4 linked regions of the Rattus norvegicus genome follow. The protein of the gene in region 1 interacts with the protein of each later gene in a biochemical or structural test. Links are inferred from orthologs where the notes say so. Each region holds a gene or a part of one and is shown on either strand. Other genes may lie near its edges.

Region 1 (7,038 bases):
GACACCAGTAACTCGGATGGTAAATTAGCCTTTAACATCCTTAGAATAATGTAGACTTCCAATGTAATTTAAAGGCAGATGCCCAGACAGATCTGAGTTTTAAGGCCTACTTAGTCTATAGAGTGAGTTCCAGGAGAGCCAGGGTTACACAGAAAAAAAAAAAAAAAAAAAAAAAAAAAAAAAAAAAAAAAAAAAAAAAAAAACCACACACAAACAGATGTCTAGCTGACTTGACATCATTGCAGAGGTAAATCTTAACTGCCAGCTTGAGAGTACTTGGAATCGATGAAAACAATTTTGGACATGTCTGTAAGGGCATCTGCACTATTCGATGGGCTAGCTACCTGAACTGAGTAAGAGAAGAAAAGGAGCTCACGCACCGTGTATCCTCTCTGAATGTGGCTAGCTGCCCCATGCTCGCCCACCATGCCTTCCCTACCACGATGCACAGTATCCCCTAGAACTATTAAGCCAAAATAAACCTTTCTGTCCTTGAGTCGCCTTTGTCTGGAATTTCATCAGAGCAAGCAGAGAAATAATATCTTAAGAGATTGTTTTAAAGCTTTGAAAAATGTACCAATGTAACGCCTTTAATCTTCTACTTATCTGGAGGCCAAGCTTCTTTTCCTTCCTTCCTTCCTTCTTCCTTCATTTTTCCTCTCTCCTAAGACAGACTCCCATGGAATACAGTCTGGCCCTGGTCCTGTCATCCTCTAGTCTATAAAGTGCTGAGATTATAGACATGTGCTGCCTTCTCCAGCATCATCACCTCCAATCTGTTGCACACGCTCACTCTCTGAGCTCTACTCCCTACTTAATACCATGGAAATCAAAACTACTACTGTCTGATTAAAAAAACAGGAGAAGTACTGATAAAGACACCATCTTTTCCGACTGTACTGCTAGGGACTGGCATTACTAATGTTAACAGGAAATACTTCCTTCAGAGGTATGAGAAAACTGCTAAGGCTAGACAGGTTCAATTTTGATTTAAATCTCACTACCCAAGTTAAAGCCTTCTTCAAAATGAACCATGACAAAAATGTAGGCATAACATCTTTAATGTCAGCATTTTGGAATTAAATTAAATCCAACTCCCTATGCACTTATACATTGTCCTTTAACTAATTTTTTTCAATTAAAAAAAGAATGGCATCTCTATATTGTTGCCTGCTCCACAACCTGATGCTAGAACCTGCTAGAAAACCCGTGAAGGACAAAAAGAGGGACTAAATCCTGTGCTGGGAAAAATCTGGACCCATTCAGGAAGTACACCCCACACAGTTTTACACATGAGTAATCTTCCTCTCCATTAGAGTTTGGCCATACGATGATTTACTCGGGATCCCGGGGAGAGTTCAGCTATGCTCCCTCCTAACCCCTGCTTTAAATGACTTTCAGTGGAAAGTGGCAGCATTATGACAGTCACCACATCAGCTCTATGTCAGGGGTGGGGTAAAGTAGGTAATTATATTGCTGTCACTGAGAAATAGAAAAAAAAAATCAGCACCTAGTTGACAGCACACATATTAAAAATGTGTTCCTAACTAGATTTGGTAACTCACACTTATAATCTCAGCACTCAGGAAGCTGAAGCAGGAGGATTGCTACAAGTATCAAAAGTTTCAGGGTGGTCTGAACTACAGGGCAATACACTATCCACCCCTTCCCTATCTCTCACCTAAAAAGAAAAAAAAAGTTTCCCATCATCTACCACAACTGCAATTAGAAAAATACTAGATAAATTCCTAACTACAGTTACATGAAAAAAAAAAGGGGGGGGAGGGATTAATATGAGATTCCAACACCTAAATAATATAATCTGTTTGCTTAAAACGGGCAGTTTAAATGTCTATGAGGAATGCAATAAACAGTAATAGAATGCTACACGGGAACTGTGGAGACTGAGTTTACTTACGTATTTGTGGTGTGTGGCACACGAAAACACTGAGAGCGAAAGTGATGCTATGGCTGGGAGCCGCCTCGCTGTAAAAGAGTTTGCTGTACAAACACGGAAACCTCACCCTGACTCCCCAGCACCATGCATGAAGTTGGGACGAGGCGCACTTGGCTGCCATCCCACCACTGGTGGGAAGAGAGACCAAGACAAAACCCAACTAAAAGCTTATACAGGGCCCAAGAAGAGGTCAGCCCAAGGTAAAGGTGAAAGCAGGAGTCTGACTCTGGCTTGAATTCACCTGTGCTCCCCTCCCCACACCACACCAAAGGTGTATGGCTATCACAGTTAAAATCCTTAACTTTGAAAGCTTTACCATATTTTATCAGAATATTTATTCAATTCCTTTATCTCATGGGCATGTGTGTGCACACACATGGGATATGCACGTGGAGGATTAGAGGACAACTTCATGAGGCTGGTTCTCTTCGACCTCACGTAGGTCCAGGAATAAAACTCCAGTTATCAGTCTCCCACAGCAAGCACCTTTACCCACTGCTGAGTAATGAAAGCTTTAAAACAACTCCATGCTTTAAAACTGTAACAATTTAGCACCATCCAGAGCTTGCTGTTTTAACAAGGAGTGACCAGTGTCAGTGGGGTTGACACATCCCAACCCTTCTGTGAACTGGAGGGGGTCCCATTGTCACATACCTTGACATAGATCACAGGGAGTGTCTGCTTGGCTCGACTATAGTGTCTGGCGACTCTGTACACTGTTTCCGGAACATAGTCCAGCACCAGGTTAAGGTAGACCTCATCTTTCTGTACGGTTTTAAAAGAAGAAAAGGACAAAACCAGATTAGAGGCTCATCTTAAGTATTCAAGTTAGAGTAAATCTCTATATACCTCTTATTCAGATGTTTAAAGAAAAGCTTCATATGGTCAATTTTAATTACACAAACTTACTTCTGGGCATGAGCAGAACTGTACAAATGCATCTAGCAGACTTTATAATCCGGGTATAGTTATAATCCATCACATTGCTTACACATGTGTTATGATAGCTTTTCGTTTATCATAATGTTTATTATTTTCTAGGCTGAAAAAATCAATATCTTTCCTCCTCTGTGGAAAGATTGCTTGAAGACAGCACTGAGTCAAAAGCCAAGAAAGCAGGCTGCTCGCCCTGGCTCTGCTGTCAACTGATGTGTATGTCTGACTGATATATATGTCTTGGCTTCAGTTTCTTCAGCTCCTGAGGAAGAATGAACTAAGTATTCTTGGAAACACTGTAGCCTCCACACAAATGCTTTGTTTGTCTGACGGTCTAGATCACTAATACATACATACATACATACATACATACATACATACATACACACACACACACACACACACACACACACACACACACACACATATATATATATATATATATATCTCAAACATATGGATGAGATCATGCCCACAAGCTTGTCCACTGGTCTCCGGTGTAGCAGCATAAAGGCAAGAGTTCAATGTCAGTCAAGAGAAAGAAGGGAGCTAGAGCCAAACAGGAAAGAGGAGAAAGCACTAGTGACACCCTGTTCTCTGAACAGCACCAGTTGGGTAAACTGAGGACGAAAAGTGAACTTAAGGATTACGCTTGGTTACTGAGTAGTGAAACTGCAGGTGACTGTTCATAATTCCACCTATCAAACTCAAGTCTGAGGCAGTGTTTTGGGCGCATCTACAGGTCAGAGCTGCTACAGGAGGGAAGGGTGGGTGCAGGTGTCAAGTTACCCACGTGTAACTCTGCTCTCCCACTCTGTGACTAGGAACAAGTATAGCTTCTTATCTTTCAAATGAAGACTGAAACAACAGAGAGAAAACTTTATTCAAGATATGAATATATCTTTTTTGATGGTCTTCCTTCTTCCATAGCTAACTGGTCTATCACTCTCATCAGCACAGAGGCAAGCAAATGATGACAACAGCCTGCGATTATCTTTATAAACAAAGTCTAACTGCAGCTCAGCGACACCCACCAATTAAACACTGCCTGTTGCTGTTTGGGGCTAAAATGACAAGAATCAAGTACTTGTGGCAGTGACTGGGTAGGTTGCAAAACTCAAAGTATCAAAGAAAAAATGGGTGTTTTTCATAACCCTGGTGATATTTAGTTTTCTGCACAGCCTGAGCTCAAAAGCAGCATGGCTACAAGGAAACCTCCATTGTGTTGACTGCTCTCATATTTAAATCATCATCGATAAATTAAGTTGGAGAGATAGATTCTATCTTGGTTTAGCTATCTAAAGTCCCTGTAAGAATTTTGGGTTGGAGCAGTGATGGTTCATGCCTTTAATCCCGGTGTGCAGGCCATAACTGTCTGGAACTCTAGTTCCAGAGGGATCTTGACACCCTCACATAGGCATGTAGGCAAAACACCAAGGCACACTGAATGAATGAATGAATGAATGTGAAATTTGGGTTCAGGCTGTGGGTGGTGGTACATGCCTTTAATTTCAGCACAGGGATCTCTGTGAGGCAAAGCCAGTCAGAAATAAACAGTGAACCTCTGCCTTGGAAGAAGAAAAGGAGATAAAAAGAGAAAGGGTGGATGGGGGATGGGGGTTTCTAGGTTCACAAGTGAGTAAACAGCAAGAAAGAAATAAAAACCAGTTGATTAATTTCAACCAGATAGCCCCCAAGTTTGTTCTTACATAACTTGTGTTGGTAGAAGAGGAGAGTTGGCAGGCAGTGATCAAAGCAAGGCATAGCCAATACAAAACTACTGTGCTCCTTGTTCTGGATTTTTACTGGCAAATGCATATGTATGTTAAGAAGCTAGGACAAAAGTCTAAGGAAAGACTGGTGAAACACGACTCTAGAGCAGTAGCTCTCAGTCTGGGGGGTGTGATCTCTTCGGGTCAACATAACAATGAAAATGCGCCCTAAATCATAATGCTTACATTACGGCTTATGAAGTGGCAACAACAATATTTTTATGGTTGGGGTCACTACAACATGAGGAACTGTGTTAAAGAGGTGTAGCACTAGGAAGTTTGAGAACCACTGCTTTACAATACTGTGAAACAAAAACAAGAACACAGAGAGGTGAACAATACAGTAAAACTTCAAAATGCTCTGAGGTCTGAAACATTCTGGGAATGAACACGGCATCACAAATGGGTAAGTTCTCCATCATACCATAGGAAAGGCTGGTCACAGTCCAAACAGGCAGTAGATAAGTGGGATGCATGGTATGTGTTCTCCAGCTGCTTAGGAGGGTGAAACAGAAAGACTATTCGAATCCAGGACTGGTAAGGGGAACACAAAGGGGAGAGAGGACGGGCAGGGGCGCTTGGTGGTTAAGGTCACTTACTCCAGTTCCCACATGGAGGCTCACAGGTGCCCTCCTGTGAGCTCACTGCCCTCCTCTGGCCTTCACCACCATCAGGCATACATGTAGGAAAACACCCAAATACCAAAATAAAATTTAAATTAAAAAGTACAGAAAACTAAGCTAAAAATAAACAACATCAGCAAAAAAGAGCACAGGAGACATAGGTGTGCTGAAATTTTGTGTCAACTTAATATTGTCAGGCTACATTTTTCAGGTATACGTGAAACACAAATGCATTTCCTGTTGAGATTCAGAGGCCGTTCTCAAAACATCTCACTAAGTAACATTCTACAGTCTTTCCAAAAAACCACTCCTGGGTTCACAAGCTCAAATAAGAGAAATTCAACTTGTGTTATAGGATCCAAGTATGGTGAACCTCAGGAGTTAGAAGGCTTTTATTTAAAAGATTGCTAGACTCAAGGGCTCCTGATTCTAAAACGTATTTGACAGAGTTTATCATGATTGACACACTAATGAGAAACCCAGAAGTGTGGGCAATGCTAGATTACGGTTTCAGCATTTGCTAACGGAGCACACCGAGAAGGACCGATGCAACAATTAAGGATGACTGTTGCATGTTCAGGAGCTTCCGGCCCTAAGGCTCCGGGTCTGTCTGTCAGTAAGTGTTAGCATTTGGTCTGGGGCTTTGACCGCTTACTTTATATTACACTCTTGAAATCGCAAATGTCCCCTACTGACTCATACACTGAATGGTACTGGGAGGTGGTGGACGCTTTAAGAAGTAGACCATGATGGAGGACACAGGTCACTGGGCATGCCTTGAAGGACAGAACCTTGTCCCTGCTCTAGACGCCAGTGCACACACCACAGTGCACTCCATCCAACAGTCTCCACTACAGCAGCACTTGTAGCACTGCTCAGCAGCCCGAAACCAGTCTCCTGAGCCTCAGACCTGACCGTGAGCTCTGAGCCTGTGACAGTAAGTCACATGCTCTAACACACAACAGTGGACAGGCAAGTTAGCATGATGCAAAAGGGAAGCAGAGTAGAAAACCAAAACCAAACAAGGATGGGATTAAATCCTAGCCCTCGGATGTCCATTTGCACTCCTCCCACCGTATGTCTGCATGATGGTATTTTCAGGTTACTAAAGGTCTCACTCATCACAACTGACAACCTGAAAACAGAAGTTGACGTCTTAAATTGTGAGTTGAAATAATTTAAATGTTTTCCATGTATATTTTTGTCACGCCAGTGTTTCGGGAGGTGGCTGACACTCTATAAGCTTATAGATTAAAGGTTTGAAGAAACAAGTGACTTTAACAGTTAAGTAACAAATGTAAAGTATACAAACAGGGACAGCGGGTGGTACATCAGTACACGATTTAACTAGACACATCCATAAACAATTCACAGAGCGTACCAACCAAGTAAAAGCACCAGGAGACAAGTCTGACAGTCAGACTGCAATCTCCCGTTTTAACCAGCCATCTAAAGCTGACACCACTAACAATGGCTTAAATGGAAGAGCAAATACGGACTGTCAAGCCTAATAGGCCAGACTGAGCGAAGCCTTAATGTGATATCTAACAAAGCAGAAAGCCTTATAATGAAAATTCAGAACATCAATATACAAAGATCAACCAGACAAAATCAAGAGCAAATGCAACAGTCATCTGGAAAGTATGCACCAGGTGTAACTACGCAGAACTCAAGAAGGATGGGTCACTGAGGCACTCCTAAGGGGACACGTGAGACGTAGCATACGTGCTGTGTTCGGACCATCACGGCC
Region 2 (7,633 bases), about 18 Mb from region 1:
GAGTGGGAGAAAAAACACAGCGTCTCTCATCAAGGGGAAATCATGTGACCCGTCTTTTTAGTGTGGCTTAAGGAGAGCCTAAATTTCCTAGGGGTGGTTCCTTGGCCAGGTTATTGAACTGGAATGTTTGGTCTCCACCCAGGATAGAGATTCTGTCCTCTTGACCTAAAGGAGCTTTTACTTCTTAGACCTGTAGCCAGTGTATCCTTAACCTGCTGGCTTCCATCTCAGCTTTCCTGAGGACAATATAAGCTTTGTTCCCTTTAGGTAACATACTTTCTCTCCGGCTAATTAAGCTTTTTTTTTTTCTGTCACTAACATCTCCCAATAAGCAACATTGTGTTGCTTTCCTATGACTCGCATATTCTAAGAGGTTTGGAAGGGCTGGCCATGTCTACTAATTATGTGTGTTGGAGGGAGTTCCCACACCAAATTACTGATGTCTAGTTGCCATCTATATGGCGGTCAAAACACTTCAGTGTACCAGGGACTCAGGATTTCCTCAGTCCAGGACTCAGGATGTTCAAAGATAAAACTGGGACAGAACTGAGTGAGCAAGACGGTCTACATCCCTTTCTGCCCTCCTGCAGGGTGCACATTCCTTGGGGGGAGTTGAATAACTAGCAAGCCAGGCACAACTTCACACTATACCTGTAACTACTGACCCCTGTAGACTGGAGACACTCTCTGGGCAGTGCTTTCTCAGAATAGGAAAGAAAATCCCTTACCACAGACCCTCTGGCCTCCATATACACCATAGATACGTCTGGTTCCTACTCCACAGTACAGAAAACCTCCACATTAAAAATGACTTCATAGGCTGGGCATGGTGGCCCACATCTTTAGTCCCACCAGTTGAGAGGCAGAGTCTGGTGGGTCTCCATGGGTTGGAGGCTAGCCTGGTATAGTCAGTGACTAATACCACAGCAGGAAGGGATATAGAGTGAGACCTTATCGCAAAAAAAAACAAAAAACAAAAAACAAAAAAGAAAAAAAAAAACCAAACAAACAACCTCTGTCATAAAGTCTATGACATAGACTCTGGGAATTGGTGCAGGCACATTGCATCACACTGATCTCTAGGGGGCAGTGTTACCTAATTTCACAAGCCCCTGAACTCCACATCCAGCATTTCTGGGAGCCCTGTGTGTGCCCGTGTAAGAATTCCCACAAGTGCACATTTTTCTTTTTCATGAAGATCTGTAGCGCAACCAATCAATCACGCAGAACGTACATGTATACATTCTTTTATTTTGGTCGTGTTTGCCTACCCGTTTGATCAGTTGTCGCGAGGCCTCACTGCAGATCTCACTTCCTCCTGTCTCAGTCGGTGGTGGAAATATACACCCTTGGGTGACCTGTACTACATTGATTTAATTGAAATTTTTTTACTAACCTTTTCCCTCTTTGTACCGACGTTTTCAAAAGCAAATGTTGTTCTCACAGCACCCTCCTTAACTGAGCGAAGAAAGAAATAACAGGTTTCTGAGTTCCATGAGGAATCTAAACTGTAGAAACACAAACTAACCACTCTCTGTGGGGAGAGAGGGCATCTGGGGGAGGTGGGTGGAAGCAACAGAGGGAGTTGCTGAAACCTGCAGGCTGTGGGATTAGCAGAGGTTCTGGTGCTGAATGGGCACAGATTGCTTACAGGAATTTTTTGGCTTGACAGAATTACGCCCAGGCTGTGTGCCATTGCTTCCTCAGCCTTAAGCTTGATTTATAAACTGCGGCCACAGCTTCTTTTCCCGAAACCTGTTGCTCTGCTTCAGCGTCCAGCCTGAAAAGCTTGCTTACTACGCCCCAATCCTACAGTTTACTGCTGCTCTTAGATCCAGCCTCTTCTGTGATAACGCTTGTGGAACTAGGGAGTCAGATGAGCCCCAGCACCAGTCTTTCCACTCACTAGTTGGGCGTGCTTCCTTGGTCTGATTTAAATGTTTAAGAAATGCCCGTGCTTTAGGTCGTATTTCCAGAACGGGAGGAGGGAGGGGACACGGAGGAGGGAAGGGACACGACCTAGCCCATAATCCGCGGGTGCTCCGTAAAATTAACCGCTTGGGGTTGGGGATTTAGCTCAGTGGTAGAGCGCTTGCCTAGCAATCACAAGGCCCTGGGTTCGGTCCTCAGCTCCGAAAAAAAAAAAAAAAATTAACCGCTTGCCTCCACGTTCAGTATTTGGGCAGATCGTGGGTTCCCTCCCAAAGACGACAGATCCCCTTAGATGACTAGAATTGCAAGTGGAGAGCTACATTTAATTTTTAGATTTATGTGGAAGAGTGTTTTGCCAGCTTGTATGTATTCCACAGGCATGTGTCCAGTTGAAAGTGAGTTGGACACCACAGAATTGCAATTGTGCATAGTTGCTTGCCACCACGTGAGCGCTGGGCGCCGAAGTTGGATTCTCTGCAAGAGCAGTAAGTGCCCTTAACCGATGAGCGATTTCTCCAGCTCTGGGCAGGGAAGCTGCAGACTCCTGCCGGGCGATCACAAGCCTACTCAGCTCGCTGCCATCTTAGCTTGCCTAACTCAGCAGCACTCGCTGACCGAGTTTGACAACGGTGGGATCTCACCCCTCCGTGGTAAGTGCACCACCCAGTACCGCCAACTCCTACAAAACTAGCACGGTCTGCCACGCCCCGGCTCTGGCCTTGCACGGGGGTGGGTGGGGCCTGCTAGTATACACATGCGCACTCCTTCCTCTTTCTCTCCTTGCAATCACACCTTCGCGTTTTGACTGCGAGTCCTTTTTGTCCCCTACTGCGTGCGGTGTGGCTTCCCGGCGGACGTGCTGACTGCGAAGCAAAATGGCAGCCACTGCGGCGGTTCCCAGCGCTGTAGGCGGCCGAGCGAACAAACGCGGCGGCGGCTCCGGCGGCGGTGGAACCCAAGGTGCGGAGGAGGAGCCGCCGCCGCCCCTCCAGGCAGTTTTAGTGGCCGATAGCTTCGACCGCCGCTTCTTCCCCATCTCCAAGGACCAGCCTCGGGTGAGGACCCGGCACGCGAGCAACCTGCGGGCCTGGAGGGTAGCAGGGCTACAAGTTGCCACTGCAGCTTGCTAGTGAAGCGTGTTCTGAAAGTTACCATAAAGTTGAGTTTTTCTGGTTGAGAGAAAGTGGAGGGACTGACTGAAACCCCGGTGGCTGTCCGTCCAGATGAGTAGCTAGCAAATATGGATTCTCGCAGGGCTGTCTGCCCAGCCTTGAGAAGGATTGAGAGGGCTGTGTATAGAATCAGTGTTTGAGGGGGTTGGGGATTTAACTCAGTGGTAGAGCGCTTGCCTAGCAAGCGCAAGGCCCTGGGTTCGGTCCCCAGCTCCGAAAAAAAGAAAAGGAAAAAAAAAAATCAGTGTTTGAAAGAAGCCTTCCCAGGGGGATTTAGTAGCGCAAGGGGGCCTCCATTGCCTCTAACCTTGCAGGACATGGGCAATTTAAAAAATGCTTCAAAAAGCGATGGTAATATATACCTAAAGGGAAAAAGGCTAGATCTCGGCCTGGTACGGGCTCTTTTCCTCCCATCTGCTGCAAGGGGAACCGAGTGGGTTCCCCTCAGCCTTGGAACTACCTAGACATAGGACATTGGTATTGGGCTTGCAGACTGCTCGGTCCCTCAGCAAACAGGGATTTGCCTTTTACTTAAGAATTCCTAAGGCTAACGACTGTTCACTTTTGACAAGTGTTTGAATGATTTCTGTGACTCAGTGTCAATAGGAGGAAATTCTATGAGAAGAAGGTCTTAGTGCTTAGAGTTATAGAGCTATGATTTAGGGCCAACATTTGTCCTTAATGTCAGCCCTGGTTTCCTATAACATATTCTGTGTCTGATACCATGTCTACTAGGCCCAAATCTTAGACTGAACCTTTGGGCCTATTTGCTTTAGAATAAAAGGGTAAAGCAAACTGTAGTGTCTGCAAGCCCCGATGAAAGGCACATTGTTGCAGTGGGGTACCTGAAGTATAATAATGGCTTGAAGACCTCAGACTTTTTCATATCCTGCCCTATAGGTCCTATTGCCCCTGGCCAATGTCGCGCTGATCGACTATACTCTGGAATTCTTGACTGCCACGGGTGTACAGGAAACATTTGTCTTTTGCTGCTGGAAGGCTGCTCAGATCAAAGAACACTTACAGTAAGGCTCGGGAATTTTTCCTTTCCATGCTTCACCGTCTTTTTTCCAGTCCTTCCAGCATGGGTTTGACGAGGTAGAGACATGAGGAAAACTGCATCTGTTCTGAGCTCGTGTATGATTTAGTGTTTTCTTCACGTGTCCTGAGAGAAGCTGCTGGAGCTTTCTTTGCCTTGAGGTTTCAGTGATGGAAATCGAAAGGCTTGGCTATGATTTTCTGAGTCTTTCAAAGTTCGTTCCAGTGAGTTTTGCTTTTTATGTTCCAGTGGGTATGTTATTGGAAGAGCATCTTTATTTTCCCACTGAATTTCTAAACACTGTCTGTTCTGACCCCCCAGTGACAGGAACAAGTTCTTTCCCCTTGTCTCCCCCACTGCCCTCCTTAGTTTCAAGCCCACTGTAAGTTCTTAAGAGATGCTTGTTAAAATTTGGAAGAGCTAGTCTGGGAATTTATGAGTTTTGGAAGTAAAGACTAGTATACTGAACATGTTTTCCATGTTACCGTGCTTAAAGTTGATACAGACTCAGAACAAGAAAGATGACTTGAAAAAAAAAATGTGTTCCCAGAATACTTTCATAGCCTAGATTTCATAGGATTTTAAATTCAAACTCACATTTCAAGACGGGAGTCAAGGTATAGAAAGGAAATGGTCATACTTCTCAAACACATAAAACTAATGACACTGGAAGCCGAAACCATTTATTATGGTTCACGCGTCTCTTTGAAGCCAGAGACGCTGGCAGGAAGCCAGAGAAGCCACAGAGGAGTATAAATGCTGAATGGAGGTTAGAGGTCAGGTCTGTGATAGTCTGTTTACTTTATAGTTCCTCATCACTTTCCCACAGGAAATCCAAATGGTGCCATCCTACGTCCCTCAATGTTGTTCGAATAATCACATCAGACCTGTACCGATCACTAGGAGATGTCCTCCGTGATGTCGATGCCAAGGCCTTGGTGCGCTCTGATTTCCTCCTGATATATGGAGATGTCGTCTCAAATATCAATATTTCCAAAGCCCTGGAGGAACACAGGTCAGGTGGGGAAGACGGCAGGGACAAGACTTAGGGACCAGTTGAGTCCTAAGACTAACTCTGCCCCTCCTTCTTTATAGGTTAAGAAGGAAGCTAGAAAAAAATGTGTCTGTCATGACAATGGTGTTCAAAGAGTCCTCACCCAGTCACCCTACACGCTGCCATGAGGACAATGTGGTGCTAGCTGTGGATAGCACCACAAACAGGATTCTTCACTTCCAGAAGACCCAAGGCCTCCGCCATTTCTCCTTTCCTTTGGTAACTGGGTGTCTGGGGAACTCAGGTAGAAGAGGGAGGAGCTTCGAGAGGAGAGATGAGCTAAAGCCTTTGTAACTTCTCCCCTCAGGGCCTATTCCAGGGCAGTCTAGACGGAGTGGAGATTCGATATGACTTGTTGGATTGTCACATCAGCATCTGCTCTCCTCAGGTGAACTCTTCAGAACAGAGCTGCATAGCCAAAGAGCAAAACTCTAGGGGTCTGTTCCCTTTCAAGTCCAGGGGATGCATCTTTCCCCTCTTTTTCTGGTTTGTTGTACAGTAGAGAAGCACAATTACTTCATTCCCAGTATATTGGGAACCAAATCTAGGGTTTGTCCTACAGCCAGTTACTATGGCTTTGATAGCTCTCTGGACGTTGTTACTGTAAAGCACCTACCCTTAGCATAGTGTGTTTTCTCCACAGGTAGCTCAGCTCTTCACAGACAACTTTGACTACCAAACTCGAGATGATTTTGTGCGAGGCCTGCTAGTGAATGAGGAGGTGAGGAAAGCTCCCAAAACGTCTAGAGGAGAGGGTTTGTCTTGCTCTGGTAACCTTGGGTTCCCTTTTGCGTTTCATTAAGCCTGAGACAGCTGGGAGCAACGATCCATAAAGAAAGCTCAGGCCATTTGATGGTGTCATCGAGCGGCAGAGAGGCACTGAGAGGCTTAGAAGGGTGTATACTTGGGGAGTGTCTTCCTGCCTTGCTTGATTGGGTAATCGTCCCTTCTCATTCAGATCCTAGGAAATCAGATTCACTTGCATGTGACAAGTAGGGAATATGGTGCCCGGGTCTCCAACCTACACATGTACTCAGCTGTCTGTGCTGACGTCATCCGCCGATGGGTCTACCCTCTTACTCCAGAAGTCAACTTCACTGACAGCAGTACACAAAGCTACACTCATTCCCGACACAACATCTACCGAGGGCCTGAAGTCAGCCTGGGCCACGGCAGCGTCCTGGAGGAAAACGTGCTTCTGGGAGCTGGCACTGTCGTTGGCAGCAACTGCTCCATCACCAACAGTGTCATTGGCCCTAACTGCCACATTGGTGAGCACAGGTGGGGACCCAGCAGTGGCCCTAAAGTGTGGGGGCTGCAGTGTGTCTCCAGAAGCTAGGGAGGAGGCCGAGGGATAGTCCTTATGATTAGGAAGCTGAGTGGCTATCGTAAGGAAGGAGCAGAGAGACAGGGAGGTGGTCCACGTGTGTTGCTCTTGCGGGGGACTCAGTCTCTGTTCCCAGTATTCATCAGGTAGCTTGCAACTCAAGTACAGGAGGATCCAGTGACCTCTTCTGACCTTGGGCACTGGCGCGTCCATGTGTGCACACAAGCACTCACACACATAGAGTTAAATTGACAAGAGTCCTGTGCTTGCTGGTGGACACATTTCCATTTGGTTTTGATCAGCTGGCCTTGAGCCCAGAGAGATCCAAGTGCTGAGATTAAAGGCATGAGCCACCACACCCAGTGTTGCCCACACTTGGAGTCCCGACACCTGGGAGATGGAGGCAGGAGGATTACAAGTTTGAGACCATCCTGGAAATGTTTATCGATTTTCTTAAATAGAACAGGCAGGAGGGCAGGACGTTAGGAAGTTAGTTGGCTACAGTTGTGCATAATCCCATCTACTGTGGAGGATAGATTGGTCAGGGCTTTGTGGCCAGCTTGGGTTTTTTGAAACTGAGTTTCTCTATCTGGTCCTGGCTATACTGAAACTCTGTAGACCAGGCTGGCCTTGAACTAACAGATCTGCCTGAGTGCTGGGATTAGAAGTGAGCACCACCACAGCTCTGCCTAGCCTGTGTATGACTCTTACAGTGACTCTTCATATTCTGGAATGTCCTCTCTGTGTTCACATTTAGAGGCAAGTGCAGGGTTAGTGTGTACTAATGACCTTTGTTCAGTTATTACAGCTTACAAAAGGCTTTTGCATGTGTTACTTCCCTTGCCCCAGTAACGTCTAATGTAAGGCAGTGCTGGGACCTAAATGCTGGTTGTGGGCTCTCTGTGTTCTTCTTTTTTAAAATAATGTATTTATTATTGTTTTACGGACATTGGTGTTCTGCCTGCATTTCTGTGTGAGGGTGTTGGGTCCCCTGGAACTGAACCTACAGACAGTTGAGAGCTGCCATGTGGGTACTGGGAATTGAACCTGCATCCTTTGGAAGGACAGCCAGTGCTCTTAACCACTGAGCCATGTCTCCAGCTCTCCAT
Region 3 (7,514 bases), on another chromosome or scaffold:
GTCAGAGGTGTGGTCTTGGACTCCATCTTCTATAACATTTTTTATCAATGACTAATACTAGAAAAAAAAAGCATTCATTGACACAGTAAATGAAACCTAACTGGGAAATGAGAACTAAGAAGAGGAAGTCATATTCACAGTGGGTAGATTAGAGCCAAAATAAAATTACAGAAGTAGTAAACAAAGCGAGCAAGGCTTTGAGGAGGGTTAAAACAAACCAGGGGAAAACCAGGCTCAAGGGACATTTTTAACAAGCATCACAGAAAATAACCGGGCTTTCTTTCTTTCTTTTTTTCTTAATAAGTAGCTTATGTTCTGGGGCCAATTGTGATCGATAGCATTTAAAACTCAAACATAACATTGTATACTGTATTCTTTATTATAACCCGCCTAAAGCCCTCATTCCTAGATGAGTGTGATTTGTTCTTTTGATCAGAAAGCCTCCCACTTTAAGAGCAAATGTGGAGAACCCAACTCACTAAAATAGGAGCCGTAGGAAACAAATGATATGATTGGTAGGTTGAAAATGAGGGGTGTGTGTGTGTGTGTGTGTGTGTGTGTGTGTGTGTGTGTGTGTCAGAGACGGAATAAGTAAATAGTGGTCTTCAAATAAGGACACACAGTTATGAAGCTAAAAGGCTCAGAAGTCCCTCGATTAGCTTAAAGCCAACCAATTGTGCTCACTTTCGAGAAAGACTGGAACTTAAGGAACTTACAACAGGTGAGGAAACAATTTAAAACAGGCGAGAATAAACGTTAGCACTAGAGGGATCATTTGAAAATCCGCTAGCATTTTCACTGACAGATTTCTACCATTTTATTTTGTTTTTTAGTGATGGTGATGTGTGGAGGGATGAAAGATAAAACTTTTTAGTATCCTGGCCAGACCTCAAACTTTGTGGTCTTCATCTGAGACAGGAAATAGAGTAAATGACTTGAAAGCTGTAAAAAAGGAAGCAAGTATGTCATTTATCAAGGCTTGTACTGATAGTGTCAGGAAATATCTCTTTAAAGCACTGTAATTGTGTTAGATCCTTCAATCTAAGTGCAACAGAGCAGCAGATGCCAGGACGCAGACCTCGTCCTGAGGGACACGGAATGTGTAGATGTGGGGTCCTATCTCAAGAGAGCAGCAACCCAAGTTTATTTTCTTGGTGTTCTTTTAGTTTTCTTTAAAAAACTTTTGCTGCTTCTATAACTGTCATAGACCAACTATTAGTTAAAAGATGCAGGTGACCCAACAAGAACAAAAAAAATGCAGGTGAGACCAACAATTGAAAGGGGAATAGTAGTTTACATTCAGATATACATCTTGTATTTTTTTCCTACATACATGCTTGTAAAAATTATTTTATAATGGACCCTTTGAATTTTATACGTACTTCAAGCATTTATGAATACAGGAAATCTGTAATTGCTTACTTAACTTAATATCATATTGTTAATGAAATGGATCAGCGTAGTCATTTTAAATGACTACTACATTTGCATAATTTCTACCTTTGGACTTTTAAGTTTACAATTGTTCACTATTATTAACAAGGGGAGCCTTTCCAATATTTGTTTCTCTTTGTGGTTTTAGAGGGGGTTTGGTCTGCTTGTTTCTATTGAGAACATTACTATTGTTTACAACACTATTAGGGCAGAAGGAGCAGAAGGTTTACGCCAATAGATCTTTGTTTTTGACGTCTGTACTGAAAAAACGAAGTGGTTAAGGCAAGATCTCCACTTTCCACTTACTTTGAAGTCTGGAATAGAGAGGTGAGGAATTGGAGGAGACAAAATACCCTCTCACTAAAGTAATCTAGTTTAAGAGAGAAGGGCCAAATGAGTACGTAATAAACCGCTTCTAGAAACTCGTAAGCTAATCACTTTTACTTGTATGCATTAAAAACATCTATCCAACGCATCCGCATTAGTCAGTGATGTAGGAGTAACAGAAAGCCAGGACCAGGCGCTCAGCCTCCTCCCTAGGCTCCGGGTGGAGAAGAAACCCTGTCTGGGGCCTCCGGGCGCTGGCGCGCGCTGGGGAAGAGTCCCGCGCGGGCGAGTGCCCTGCACGCCCGCTTCTGCACTCCTTGCACGTCCGATGCCAGGCAGCCCGAAAGCAAACCTCCGCCCAGCCGCCCGCTCCGGCGGCGAGCAGCTTTGCCTAAGATCAAGCGCGAAGCCGCTTAGCTCAATGGTCAGAGCGTGGGTGGAAAACAAACTTTGTTACGTGTTCACTCGGAGCACCGCGGTTCTGGGAAAGGATCAAAGCCACATTCCTAACTGTGCACCGCGCGCCTCACTCCCCACCCCACCCTCTCTTTTAATAATAATAAAAAATAATGATAATTTTAGCCGATGAGTAACGAAGCGGGCTTTAAAGCCACGCGGGGAGTGCAGCGGGGCGGTCCAGCAGGTGGCCCGCCCGCATCCCGGCCTCCGCCGCGCGCGCCGAGGCCCGAGCCACATCAATGGGAATCCCCCGTGGGAACTGCGCCTCCCACCACGCCTGCGCTCCGACACCCTGCCGGTCTCAGCGCGCCGGGGTCGCAGCCCACCCCGGGTCGGCGCCTGGTTGCTCCGCGCCCGCGGGCGAGCCTCCGTGCCGAGGGGCGGGGGCGCTGTCGCGGGGGGCGGAGGTGGGGGGGGGCGGGAACCGCGCGCGGGGAGGGGAAGGGGTTCTCGCGCGATCGGGCGAGGTTTCCGGTGTTGTGACTGAAACCCGTCAATATGGCGGCGATCGGCCGCGGCCGCTCTCTGAAGAACCTCCGAATACGAGGTAAACCCGCTTGCCGCCCTCGCTCTCCGCACCCGGTGTTCGCTGTCCGCCGCGGCGCTCGGCTTTGCCCGGGGTCTGGGGTGGGGGAAGCAAACTGGGCGTCGGGCGCCGCTGGCCTGCGATGGTTCCTAACTGGGGCTGTGTGTCTGTTTCGCACAGGGCGGAATGACAGCGGCGAGGAGAACGTCCCGCTGGATCTGACCCGAGGTAACGCGGGGCACCGGGGCCGCTGTGCACCGGGGCTGGGGCGGGCAGGCACGCGACCCGCGGGGCAGCGAGGGGCCGAGCCCGCGCCCATCCCCCTGCCCCGCGCCGGTTTCCCCCCGGGTGAGCCCCTCCGGGCCTGGGGCGGCTGCCGGAGCGCGGGAGCGCGGGGCGGACCTAGGTGCACCCAAGGACCGGGGCTGCGCGTACGCCCGCGGGAGCGTGTTTGCACCCCCCGTCCGCTCCCGGGCCCCCGAATCCCGGAGGCGGCCTCGGACGAGGGGAGGTAGAGGTTGTTATTTAGGTTACTGGAGGATGTTTGTGGGAAGAGCGACCACATCCTGCCCTCCCCGTCCCCCGGAGCAGATGCTGGATCTGCCGGCTTCTTGCTGACTGCGTGACTGCTCTTCTCTGCCCGCGCGGTCCTCTGGGGGCCCCGCAGCTTTGCGAACTCGGCGGTGAAATCGAGAGCCGGTGATTACTGCTAAGTGTCTGCTTTATGCCGCGTCTCCCTGCTGCTTCCCGTTCCCGGGCCCGCTGGGGCTGTAGTTGGCTAGAGACCGCCCCCTCACTGCCGCAGGTTCATTGTGTACCTTCTGTCTGCAGTGGAGATGCGTTTGTTTACACCTTCTCTGCAGGGCAAGCCCGGCGTGCATTTTTAAGAACCGTCTCCGCCGAGTGATCGGTGTTTCTTGCTTGGGTCACCGGCCACCAGACTGGTGTTTATTCCACAGTATCTCGCCAAAGCATTAGTAGTTCTGTGCAAGGAGTTCTTTTTTCTCTTCTTCCATAAACAGGAGTTGGACTACAGATTTCGACAGTCACTTCCCACAGCGTTGTAGTTGAGTGTAACTAACTAGTTCTGCTGTGCGGAATCACTTTTCGAGTTCCGTAAAACACCTTAGGATGTGAAAAGAAAAGACACTCGTAAACATTCCACATGGCATAAATTTGTTCCCCCCCCACCTTGTATGTAGTGACCATCGTATAAAGTATAAGGATGGTGGATGTCGGTTTTGGGAGACCCATCTCTGTATTGACAGCATAATTCATTCTCAGTTCTGTTTCCGTTTTTGTAAGAGCCCGGTGTAGATTGAAAGACTATAGTTTTGATTTAGTTAGATGAGTACATGTTTGTTATTTGTTTCTGATAGTTCAGGAAGTTTTGAGTAAACTAGTCCTTTCAAAGTGAGAAACTTTTTTAAGATACAGTACAGTGGTGTGTAAGTTCTAGAAATGGCAATTAGTTAAATCGGTGATTTGGAACTTTTTTTTATTAGCTAGGTTTGAGAAACAGTATAGAAAAAGGTCAAGCTTTTGACTTTTTTTAATTTGTAAATTTAATATATATATATATGAAAAATTTCCAGCAAGCATTCTGAGTATCCTAATACAGATCTGAGACTTAGCATTGTGCTTCTCTCTCTCTTTTTAAAGATTTTTATTTATTTTATGTATGTGAGTACAGTGTTGCTATCTTCAGGCACATCAGAAGAGGGCATCAGATCTCATTACAGATGGTTGTGAGCCACCATGTGGTTGCTGGGAATTGAACTCAGGTCCTCTGGAAGAGCAGACAGTGCTCTTAACTACTGAGCCATCTCTCCAGCCCCAGAATTGTGCTTTTCTAACCATGTAGTTGGTCAGTGATTTCAAGAAATTGTGAGAAGAGACTGCAAGGTAAACCTGAGCCTGGCGTACAGTAAAAGCCTGTTCAGATATGGGGTTGGAGATAAACTGTGTAGTGTGTGATTTTGTTAATCTTTATACATTTCTGTGGTGGTGTCAGAATTTGGGATTGTAGAAAAGCTTATTTGAAACTTGCTTTGCTTAAATATTAACTCAGACAAATCTATGGGTATGATTGAAAAGAATCAGTTCTCTGAGACTGTTTACTTAAACATCTATGTAATAAATATAATATAGATAGCTGTTCCTAGGGTTATAGAAAATGCTTAGAAAATGTTTTCATTTGCCCTGATAAAATGTACTAGCGTTCCAAATACGTATTCATAGCCAGTTGACCTGATTGCAAAAGCAATGCACAACAACGAGAAGTTATTTGAGAACTGTAGGCCTCAACCATAAGGAAGTTTAGCAGAAAAAAGTTACGAGTTAGACTCGTATATAGTGAGACAGCTGATTAGAGAAAGTGTTTGTTTAACAGACACTTCATTGTTTAAAAGCTTGTGGATCACACATGAGGAAAGTTCATGAGGAATTGAACTTTAGTAATGATTTCAGACCCATGAGGCATCTGGGTTGCAGCTGCTTGTAGATTAGATTACAATACGGAAACAGATAAAAGTTTGAGCAGCTAAAGTTTTGTTTTGCTTTATGCTAAGGCAAGGTTTGCTGTCATGCAGATTGTTTTGTGACGTCTACTGTGTAGGTGGACAACCGTGGTCATAGTGATCTGTGAAAGAGACATCCAGGCATATCAGACACTGACTGCGAAGTCAGATAGTTCTGCATTGTAAGCTCAGGGACAATAGTAGCTGGGGGATTTGGGACAAGTTATTTGACCTTGCCTACCTCCTGTTTCTCCACTGAAAAAAACTAATTTTAAAATGTTAGTAAGACTGAAAGGTAAAGGAAGGTAGTTCTTAATTACTCAGTATAAATTATGTTTTATCATTTATAAGCAATATTTGGTGTTAGCTGCTCCTACATTGGGAGGTTGGGATTCTTTGTATTTTAAGAAGTATGTCAGGTGATTGTGGGTGCATGTACATGTGCACGTCCACATGTGTACATGTATGTATGGAAGCCAGAGGATAACCTAGGATGGCAGGAGCAGTACCCTATTGGCCAATACCACTCAGTGGCCCGGACCTTATCAGTTAGGTTGAACCAGCTGTCCAGTAAACTGAGGGATCTGCTTGTCCTTGGCTCCTCAAGGTTGTGATCAAAATGTGTGCCACCACACCTAGCTTTTTCCCATGGCTCTGGGTTTTGAACTCAGGGCCTTACACTTTTGGCAAGCTCTGGCAGAGCATTTCTCTGACTGAGCTATTCCCCAAGCCCCAAATTATTGTTTTGACTGTTACACACGTATTCAAGGACTCGGGCTGAAATGGAGTACTTAGTGGTAACATGTTTTTGCTAGTACCAGCACTTAGGAGGTGAGACAGGACTGGGAGTTGGAGGCCAGCCTGGGCTCCCTGAGACCTGTCTCCAAAAAAAAAAAAAAAAAAAAAAAAAAAAAATTACCAATTAAGATTAACTGAAAGCGGAAAGTAGAGTTTGTTGTATGTACTTAGGGTAAGATGTGATACTACATTTTGTGAGCCTTAGAATTGTTTGTCCTAGCACCAGAAAGTTTTTAGTTATGTTGATTTACTTGTATTCTGGTTCTCCTGGGGCCCAGAAGGGTTTGGGGCCTTTGATTTTAGTACTGGTGTTATTACTGTGGCTCATATAGAATGTTTATTGACAGATTAATTTTGACCTAGGAGCCCAATTAGTAAATCTTAGAGTTAATTTATTAGTAATTCTCGCTTTCAGTTTTGTTCAGAAGCCTACTCTACTTAATTTGCGAAGGTCCTAGTTTGCTTCTGACACCATTAAATACTCTCTATATTTCACACCAAGATGTGCTTTTTAAAAAAGTACAAACACCTAATGCTTCCTTTAGCTACTTCCATAGCAAGCATGCACCTTTTCCTTTCTTTCTTTTTTTCTTTTCTTTTTTTTTTTTAGATAGTGTATCCCTTTCTGGTTCTGTTGACTCAGGTTTGAAAGACACAATAATCTCTCAGTAAGCCCCCGTTAGTATAGTTTTCTAAGTGTCTTCCCAGAAAACGGATACTTCTGTGTACTACATATTTATTAGAATGCAGTTTGTTGGATTAGACTGAAATGTTGATGGTTCAACTTGCTGTGCAGTATTTAGAAAGGCAGGACAGTTATCTGAAATAGTGTGAATTGAACATTTTTTTTGTTTTCTAATTTCCCTTAGTTGGGAGGTTACTCATTTGTTTAATTGCTCACATCAGTTAACCAAACATTGACAGAAATCTATTATGTATCAGAAACTGAATTAGATGCTGGAAGAGTAGGAATGAGAAAGATGTTCCTTTTAAAGTTGATTGGAGCTGACAAGAGAAGTGATTGTGGTATGAAACAGTAAGTAATAGGACAGAATTACCGAGGCAGCAGCCAGAGGAGAATGTGATCGTCTGGTGCATTGGTGATCAGAGAAGCCTCTGAAAGGTCTAGCCTTCCTTAAACGCTGTGGCTCTGTGGAAGGGCTCTGCAGAATAAAGCACGGTGGAAAGGGAAAGTCAGTGGATAGAGGACCTGTGTAGAAGTTCTCTCCTATCATCAGAGAAATGATGAAGGATTAGACCAGGGGTTTAGCTACAGGAGTGGAATCAAAGATATTTTAGAAGGAGGACATCAGCTGGCTTGCTTTCTCCCACTGAAAACCAACTTTTAAGTTTTGCTAACTTCTCTGTCTGTCTCTCACTTTGGAGACAGTCTTGATGTGTTCCTAGCTGGCTGGGTAGTGACTGTAGCTCAGGTTGGAATAATCTTGCTT
Region 4 (7,720 bases), on another chromosome or scaffold:
CTAAGACTAAATCCTCGCTGCCCAGTGACTAAGGACCTAAGTATGCACACTGCCTCTGTGCTCACTCTCCCAGCCAGCCTGACTACTCAACAATTTTCTTTCTTTCCCTCAGAATCAATCCCCTGTTTTGGCACACTTCAGTTCACACACGACTGCCAGGCCACTAATTGATTTCTGAAACCTGACATTTGTCTTTTTTGGTGTTCTCCCATCTTCCCTAATGGTGCAGGACTACTCAGCAGGGAGGAATGCAAAGAACTAGAAAGTTCAAAGTAATTGAGGATCTGTCCATTCACACTGGCTGGCGGCACGCCAGTGTAGAACCTGGAAAAATCTGAAAAATATTTATCGACTTTTAACCCCTTTTTGGAAGCCGAGTGGACAAGTTTGTCAACAGCGCTGTTTGTCTTGGTTAAACATGGTCTCTGTGTGCTTAGAACAGCATGGTACACATCTCAGAAAAGGATTGCCTTCCAACTTCCGTAGGATCCTACACAGCTGAGCTGGATATTTTCTGTGGGGTTGAAGAGCTAAGGATTTGAGAGAAACGATTACTTATTTAAAAGCGGTGGCCCTACTCCCCGATCTTTATGCCAGAAATTACATTTAAATAAATGCCACCATTTCAAGCAAAAAAAAGTAGATATTCGAGTATTTTTAAAACTGTAAATGGATCAGCTATATGAACCAGACCAAGGTAGGCTCATATATACATCCTTTAAAAAATAGGAAAGTAAAGAGTGACAAGGCCATAAAAATATGTTCTTCAGTGCTTGTCACATGGTTTGGGAGGGTCTTGATTTGCTGCAATTGAAATCTTTGTAAGGGGCAGCATGTCAAAAAGCTATTGTGAAATTTAGAAAGATTCCCATTAAAGTAAAAGGGTCTTATTGCAGTGAAGTATCACGCCCCACTGATGCTCTGGTCTGGATAGGCTTAAAAGTCAATCAAAATAAAGCTAAAGTCCAAGACCTTTAAATTGTATTGAGAGTTAAGAGTTAAAGAAAAGAAATATTGTATTAAGAGTTATTAATACCCCACGCCTTAGTTTGGTTATATTATCAGCATTAAGCATCCAAAGGTCTTGTAAAAAAAAAAAATCACCTCTTTTTAAAAAGTTAAAATCCAACAACAATTCTATGACCTGTTTCCGAGTGATTTGAGCTCATGATCGGGTTTAATCACAGAGAAAATGAGGCCAGGTTTTTAAAGATGAAGGTTGGCAACATGAAATTGTTCACTTAAAACACACACTTATTAAATAACACCCTGGTATCCTGAAAGGCGTCATTGCCCGTTCTCTGAAAGCAGCAATGACAACTGTAAAAATGGATCATTGCAACAGGAAGGAAAAGGGAGAAGAGAAATTGAGTTCACAATATGATTCTATCTTTGCTAAACAAACAAACAAACAAACAAACAAACAGCACGTGAGACTTTCTTCAAACATTCATTTAAGGAGACTCATACCTGTGAGGTACACTTTTTCTCCTAAGAACTTTTTAAAAGATGCTTCACTGTAAAGGGGCAGTGTGCTCTCTGTAGGTACTCTGCTATAATGTGCTGTCAAAAGACGTACGTTGATAGCAATACGACAGGCATTTTTTAAAGTCGCAGTTTATTGTCTCAGCTTCTCAATAAGCCAGATAAAATCATGTACAAGAACATTAAGGATTAAGGAGAGTAGTTTCCTTTAGCGATTACTGGCAAAAATTAAGAACCAAACCAAACAAAACCACTCACTCACCCTCCATTAAAATAACGCAGTAAAAAGGTGGTCATTTAGTTGGCCGTTGCTTTCCTACAAATTTGGATTCCCAGTTTTCAGGGTCGTTGAGTGTCTGTGTATGTTTGTGGCTTCTTTGGTTCCCGTTTCGTAGGAAAAGGTGCCACTGTATTAGGTAGATGGGCCATACTTCTCTTCTGAAAATATTAAAACTCCGTCTCCCCCCCTCCAGAGACTACAGTGCTAGCAAAAATAAGCCAAAGATGTAATGTCTATTTAAATACCCAGTTGAGCTGGCTGTTAGTTCTCAAATTAGATTCCATGCTCCGACTAGAATCAACATGGTTTAAATATTAAAAACTTCATAATTCATATGGCCTACCCCACCTTTCCCCCACATACGGCAGGCGAAGGAAAGTAGAAATGTCTGTGAAAACTTCTAGCTCCTTAAATGCTGTAGGGGGAAATGTGCCCAGGTTGGTATGCAAGGACTTGAAAAAATGCTTGACATTACAGATTTTATTCAGGCCATAAGCGATCTGCTAAAGTATATAGATAGATCTACGGTTGAAAACACAGAAATGAGAGCTGTTTTACATTTGTTACCGCACCGCCCATTGTTTTCCTCTAAAGTACATTTTGTATACTTAAAAAAATACACTCATTGGATAAGACTGGAAACCTCAGCTCCCCCACCTAGCTGCCTTCTGCCTTCAGCTTTCGAGTTTCAGGTCCTTGCACAACACCTAAGACGTGCAATACTTTTTTTCGCCCTAATCCTGGCAGAGAACAGTTCGGAGAGATCTCCCTTCGCGTCTCCACCCTGATTCCCCCCTCTTCCTAGATTCCACCCGCTCCTCTCCTTCCCTCCGCCCCGTGCTCCGCCGGCCCAATCTGTCAGAGAAGTTGTGTACAAACTGCGCCGCAGCCCTGCGCGCGAAGCTCCTGGCCCGCGAGGGGTGCGGTCGGCCCGTCGGAGGCGGGACCTCGTGGGGCTTCTTTTCTATTGGCTAGCCGCTGGCCTTGGGGCATTGCCATTGGCCACAACGCTGCCAGTCGCATGAGCTGGCCCTGCCTCCCTGGAGTTGGGTGAAATAGAGGCGGGCGTCAAGTGTCAGTAGTTGCGGGGCAGGTACGCGCCCTCTTAGCTTGCTGGTGGAGCTTGGAGGTGGCGGGAGCGGTTCCGGCGAGGGAGCGAGCGAGGGAGCGAGCGAGCGCTGGGGCGGGGCGGGAGAAAGTGGCGGTCGGAGTACATCGGCGGTGACGCGTGGCCGAGCCCAGGAGCCCCGATCTTCGTGCCCGCCTTCTTGAGCGTCTGGCTGCCGGCCCAGGGGTCTCCCGCTGCGGCCCCGCGCCGAGTCCTCCGTCCTGTGCCAGCCCGGGCGAGGTGGGAATCGCGATCGCCCCGTGCCCCGCTCCCGTAGTCTCCAGACCGTCCATGCCCACGCGGGTGCTGACCATGAGCGCCCGCCTGGGACCAGTGCCCCAGCCGCCGGCCGCGCAGGACGAGCCAGTGTTCGCGCAGCTCAAGCCGGTGCTGGGCGCTGCGAACCCGGTCCGCGACGCGGCGCTCTTCCCCGGAGACGATCTGAAACACGCGCACCACCACCCGCCTGCGCCGCCGCCAGCCGCCGGCCCGCGACTGCCTTCCGAGGAGCTGGTCCAGGTAAGCCGAGAGTGGCCGGCCTCCCTTCCCCAGCTCGGGCGTGTCCCGCCGCTGCGAGGCGCGGGCGACAGGGGCCGCTCCAGGCTGGGACGCGCGGGAACGGGCGCCCGAGTGGGCAACCCCGCCCTGCGCTGCCAGACGGGGCGCCGCGGAGTGGATGGGGGAGCAGGGCGGGGGCCCACCCCGATCTGTCCAGAGAAGGCTAAAGAGCCGCGCGCTCACGTGCACCTTGTCTTTTCTTGCGTGCGGATGAAGGCTTCTACCCACGCTCAACTTGGCTTAAAATGCTTCTTGACCACTCTTTCCCGATGGCCCTGGCCTTGGAAGTCCACCTGCCTGCGTCCTCTGGGGTGAAATAAAAATGCAGATTGGACTACTGGGGTTTCATATGCCTCCGTGGCTCACCCTAGAATGGATTGTAGGGCCCCGTTTAGGAAACTAGAATTTTAAGGTTGTATTGGAACACCGCTTCTTTTTCCTTAAAAAGAACACGGACAAAAAAAAGGCCAGGGGTGTTGTTTTTCTTGTGCGCGTAAATTTCCTCCCGGAGTCGCGTTGAAAGCTGGCAGTTGGCTTTTACACTTGCCCAGCAGCCGAATTAGAGCAAGCGCCTGTTTCTTTCGCCCACGCACGGGAGTCATATAGCCTAGAAAAAACTTCCCGGGACTTTTAGCTGGTCCCAAGGAAAAAAAAAATTGGAAACAGACCCACATGCAAACAGCTGGAAGAGCTAAAATCAGAAACCACTAACCGCCACGGGAGCGCAGTGCACGAAAGGGTTTAGTTCGGTTTATTTCAAGACACTTAGTTTAATAGCCTCTTGCTGTATTGTGTATTTGCACTCAGCGCCTAATTCTTGGTCTGCCAGTGTGCTTTGAGAGGACAGTGGCATTTTGTCAGATGTGACTCACATGGTCACAGCATGAATCTTTATTTTTAAGTCCTGCATATCCGGGAAATCCCGTCCGTCCTCATCCACATCCAGATCTTGATGATCTGAGGTCCGAGGTGACATTCTTTTGAAAATTAAAAGCAAAAATAAGACTCCTATTCATCGATTAAGGTGCAGGGGTTTTTATGAACCATTTCACGTAGTTGGGGTTTGATCTTTTTTCTAACTTCAATGTCAAAAAAGATGAGAAAAATTAAAGTTTTCATTGTATTAGAAGAGCGCGTCTGATCCGTAGCTGGATTATGTCTGATCTTAAACAATCAGGGCCTGGAAGATATTCGGTTATTTCAGTTTGGTTCTTTCAGGAGATAGCAAGATGACTGCTCTTTTTACAGAGGAAGGGGGAATGTAGCATTGGCCCACGGAGAGGACATGATAAATGTTTTGCTGATGACTGTGTGAGTGCAGCAGCCTCTCCCCACCCACGGGAGTCTTAGCACCCGTCTACCAAGGGAGTGATTTTCTCCTTGATAATTAAAAGATCTGTTTTAGATAGGGACATGAACAGGTCCGTTTCATTATTAATGTAACCAGTTACCGAATCGGCCGGGTAAAATGAACATTTAGATCAAACGTTGAGGGCGCACTTGTTTTGTACGAGTGGATGCAGGCTCCTGCTCCAAATGTTCGTTTTTATTCAGAAAGTTCCGAAATGGGCAAAGCACATTTTTATATTAGTATCCAAAGAAAACCTAACTATGCCCACGGAAGAGCCCTTCGAAATAATTATTTCGAAGAGTTGCAAAAGGTCTTAGTTTTCAAGTGAAGCATGTTTAAGTGTAATGGATGCGGACAGATTTGAGACAGTTTGGCAAAAGTGTGATACCGTGCTTTAAACTGAAGACTTGCCGTTCTCCGACCGGGGTGAGACTTGAATGCATCAGAAAAGAATATGTTTTGACCTCCTCCCCCACCTCTTTCACTTTTTGTCTGGGGATGATTTGGGGGAGTGATTTTACTAAGGACATGTCACAGAGACTTTTGGTTAACCAATAATTACACAACTGACAGAATGAACTTGTGTGTTTATAAGCAACACTTAGGAGTTGGCCCCGGTACTCCTGGAGTTTAGTAGGCCATATTTATTTATCCTTCCTGACTGAATCGGGTAGATTACGTTTTTCATCTTTTCTTTTCTAGACAAGATGTGAAATGGAGAAGTATCTGACACCTCAGCTTCCTCCAGTTCCGATAATTTCAGAGCATAAAAAATACAGACGAGACAGTGCCTCAGTGGTCGACCAGTTCTTCACTGACACTGAAGGCTTACCTTACAGCATCAACATGAACGTCTTCCTCCCTGACATCACGCACCTGAGAACTGGCCTCTACAAATCCCAGAGACCATGCGTAACACAGATCAAGACAGAACCTGTTACCATTTTCAGCCACCAGAGCGAATCCACCGCCCCTCCTCCTCCGGCCCCCACCCAGGCCCTCCCTGAGTTCACCAGTATATTCAGCTCCCACCAGACCACAGCGCCAGAGGTGAACAATATCTTCATCAAACAAGAACTTCCTATACCAGATCTTCATCTCTCGGTCCCTTCCCAGCAGGGCCACCTGTACCAGCTGTTGAATACACCTGATCTAGACATGCCCAGTTCGACAAACCAGACAGCAGTCATGGACACCCTTAATGTCTCTATGGCTGGCCTTAACTCACACCCCTCTGCTGTGCCACAGACGTCCATGAAACAGTTCCAGGGCATGCCTCCTTGCACGTACACCATGCCGAGTCAGTTTCTTCCACAGCAGGCCACCTACTTTCCCCCATCACCACCGAGCTCAGAGCCTGGAAGTCCTGATAGACAAGCTGAGATGCTCCAGAATCTGACCCCACCTCCGTCCTATGCTGCTACAATTGCTTCGAAACTGGCAATTCACAATCCAAATTTACCTGCCACTCTGCCAGTTAATTCGCCAAATATCCAACCTGTCCGATACAACAGAAGGAGTAACCCGGATCTGGAGAAGCGACGCATCCATTTCTGTGATTATGATGGTATGTGGTCTGTGTGCTCTGGAGCATCCGTAGTGTTTTTCGTGTTCCGGGGTGCCCCGGAGTCTCACGTTTGCTCCCTTTTGAACCTTAGCCATGAAAATATATAGGGTGTACTTTTTCTCTTAATATTTTTGTGTTTTATGCTGGTGTATAATGGCTAGCCAGTCATGACAGCTCATGCCTTTAATCCCCGAAATGAGGCTGAGATAGGAAGATGTTCTAACTAGCCTGGGCTACATAGTGAGATCTTAATTAACTCCTACAATTCCCTTTTTTATTTGATTTGTTTATGTAATGACTAGACCATTAATCTAAATGGGGTTTCTTTCTCTTTAGTAGTATTGGATTTCATTTGGTCTAAAACCGTAGCACCAAATTCTAAAGTCTCTGGAGATTAAGTAGGTTGATAGGCAATAGTGCATGTGGTAACTTCTCTTCAGGTTGTAGGGACCCCTTGGCAGGCACAAGGCATCAGGATGAATTTTAAGAATGGTTGGTTCCATTAGTGTGTGCTCGTTCCCCAATGAGATACATGACCCAAAATATAATTGGACGTAATACATCTCCAAGTTGCAGGCATAAGTGAGTTTATGGTTAATGCGGGGCATAATTTATTGACTGCACAATGTGGCATGACATGCTAAATGAAAAAAAAAACACAGGAGTATAGAAAATTATAGTTATCTCAGATATAACACTGTCAGTCCTACATCCATTACATTAAATACACACACACACACACACACACACACACACACACACACACTACGATAGCTCTCCAGTCACTGAAGCCTGCCTTATAGCAAAAAGTACCTACTGGAATATAAACACAGAATTTCCATTTGTTACTGGCTGGATTATCTGTGGTCTTTGCTCCCAAAATGGTCCATAAAGCAGATCACCTCTGCCTCCTAATAAGGTCAGGAGGGCACCTTGAAACTTCCTAACCAAAACTTCCAATATTACATCTAGCACAAGAGATTTCATCTTGAAAGCCAAGTTTTAAACACTGAATCATCGAATGTAAAGATTGCAAAAGGCCCTGGAAATGACAAGTTGTTCTTCCTCTGTTCCCTTTATTTTAGGTTGCACAAAAGTTTATACAAAGTCGTCTCATTTAAAAGCTCACCTGAGGACTCATACGGGTAGGTAATTTTCTTGTTAATTCTGGGAGTTGTGTAAATAGTATAAGTGACATTCATCCTTTTAAAAGCCAAGATGTGTTTGATCTCTTCTTTCTTCTGTCAACTTTTATTTTTTAATGGCCTACCTTTTCAGCAAGGGCTGGGCTCAATTCAGTTCCCCAAGAAACTGATTCCGGGAAGGCTGATGTCTCCTCGGTGAGACCTTGCCCTGTCACCTCACGTAGAA

What was found. The genes of interacting proteins can lie anywhere in the genome.
Region 2: of the proteins of Gsk3b (region 1) and Eif2b5, one has a biochemical effect on the other in vitro, tested with the Homo sapiens proteins (2 studies listed by BioGRID and IntAct). The link is inferred for Rattus norvegicus from reciprocal best matches to the Homo sapiens genes GSK3B and EIF2B5.
Region 3: of the proteins of Gsk3b (region 1) and Rictor, one has a biochemical effect on the other in vitro, tested with the Homo sapiens proteins (2 studies listed by BioGRID). The link is inferred for Rattus norvegicus from reciprocal best matches to the Homo sapiens genes GSK3B and RICTOR.
Region 4: of the proteins of Gsk3b (region 1) and Klf5, one has a biochemical effect on the other in vitro, tested with the Homo sapiens proteins (2 studies listed by BioGRID). The link is inferred for Rattus norvegicus from reciprocal best matches to the Homo sapiens genes GSK3B and KLF5.

What each region holds. Positions count from the first base shown.
Region 1 is NC_086029.1:76,060,731-76,067,768, forward strand, and holds part of Gsk3b (glycogen synthase kinase-3 beta), read right to left. Parts: intron 2,723-7,038; coding exon 2,612-2,722; intron 1-2,611. UniProt on the Homo sapiens protein: Constitutively active protein kinase that acts as a negative regulator in the hormonal control of glucose homeostasis, Wnt signaling and regulation of transcription factors and microtubules, by phosphorylating and inactivating glycogen synthase (GYS1 or GYS2), EIF2B, CTNNB1/beta-catenin, APC, AXIN1, DPYSL2/CRMP2, JUN, NFATC1/NFATC, MAPT/TAU and MACF1.
Region 2 is NC_086029.1:93,903,939-93,911,571, reverse strand, and holds the start of Eif2b5 (translation initiation factor eIF2B subunit epsilon), read left to right. Parts: upstream 1-2,771; 5' UTR 2,772-2,807; coding exon 2,808-2,987; intron 2,988-4,004; coding exon 4,005-4,129; intron 4,130-4,972; coding exon 4,973-5,158; intron 5,159-5,238; coding exon 5,239-5,416; intron 5,417-5,504; coding exon 5,505-5,585; intron 5,586-5,840; coding exon 5,841-5,918; intron 5,919-6,155; coding exon 6,156-6,468; coding exon of another isoform or gene 6,469-6,478; intron 6,479-7,633. UniProt on the Homo sapiens protein: Acts as a component of the translation initiation factor 2B (eIF2B) complex, which catalyzes the exchange of GDP for GTP on eukaryotic initiation factor 2 (eIF2) gamma subunit.
Region 3 is NC_086020.1:57,536,627-57,544,140, forward strand, and holds the start of Rictor (rapamycin-insensitive companion of mTOR), read left to right. Parts: upstream 1-2,652; 5' UTR 2,653-2,718; coding exon 2,719-2,767; intron 2,768-2,926; coding exon 2,927-2,974; intron 2,975-7,514. UniProt on the Homo sapiens protein: Component of the mechanistic target of rapamycin complex 2 (mTORC2), which transduces signals from growth factors to pathways involved in proliferation, cytoskeletal organization, lipogenesis and anabolic output.
Region 4 is NC_086033.1:82,469,223-82,476,942, forward strand, and holds the start of Klf5 (Krueppel-like factor 5), read left to right. Parts: upstream 1-2,858; 5' UTR 2,859-3,164; coding exon 3,165-3,392; intron 3,393-5,484; coding exon 5,485-6,349; intron 6,350-7,434; coding exon 7,435-7,494; intron 7,495-7,720. UniProt on the Homo sapiens protein: Transcription factor that binds to GC box promoter elements. Activates the transcription of these genes.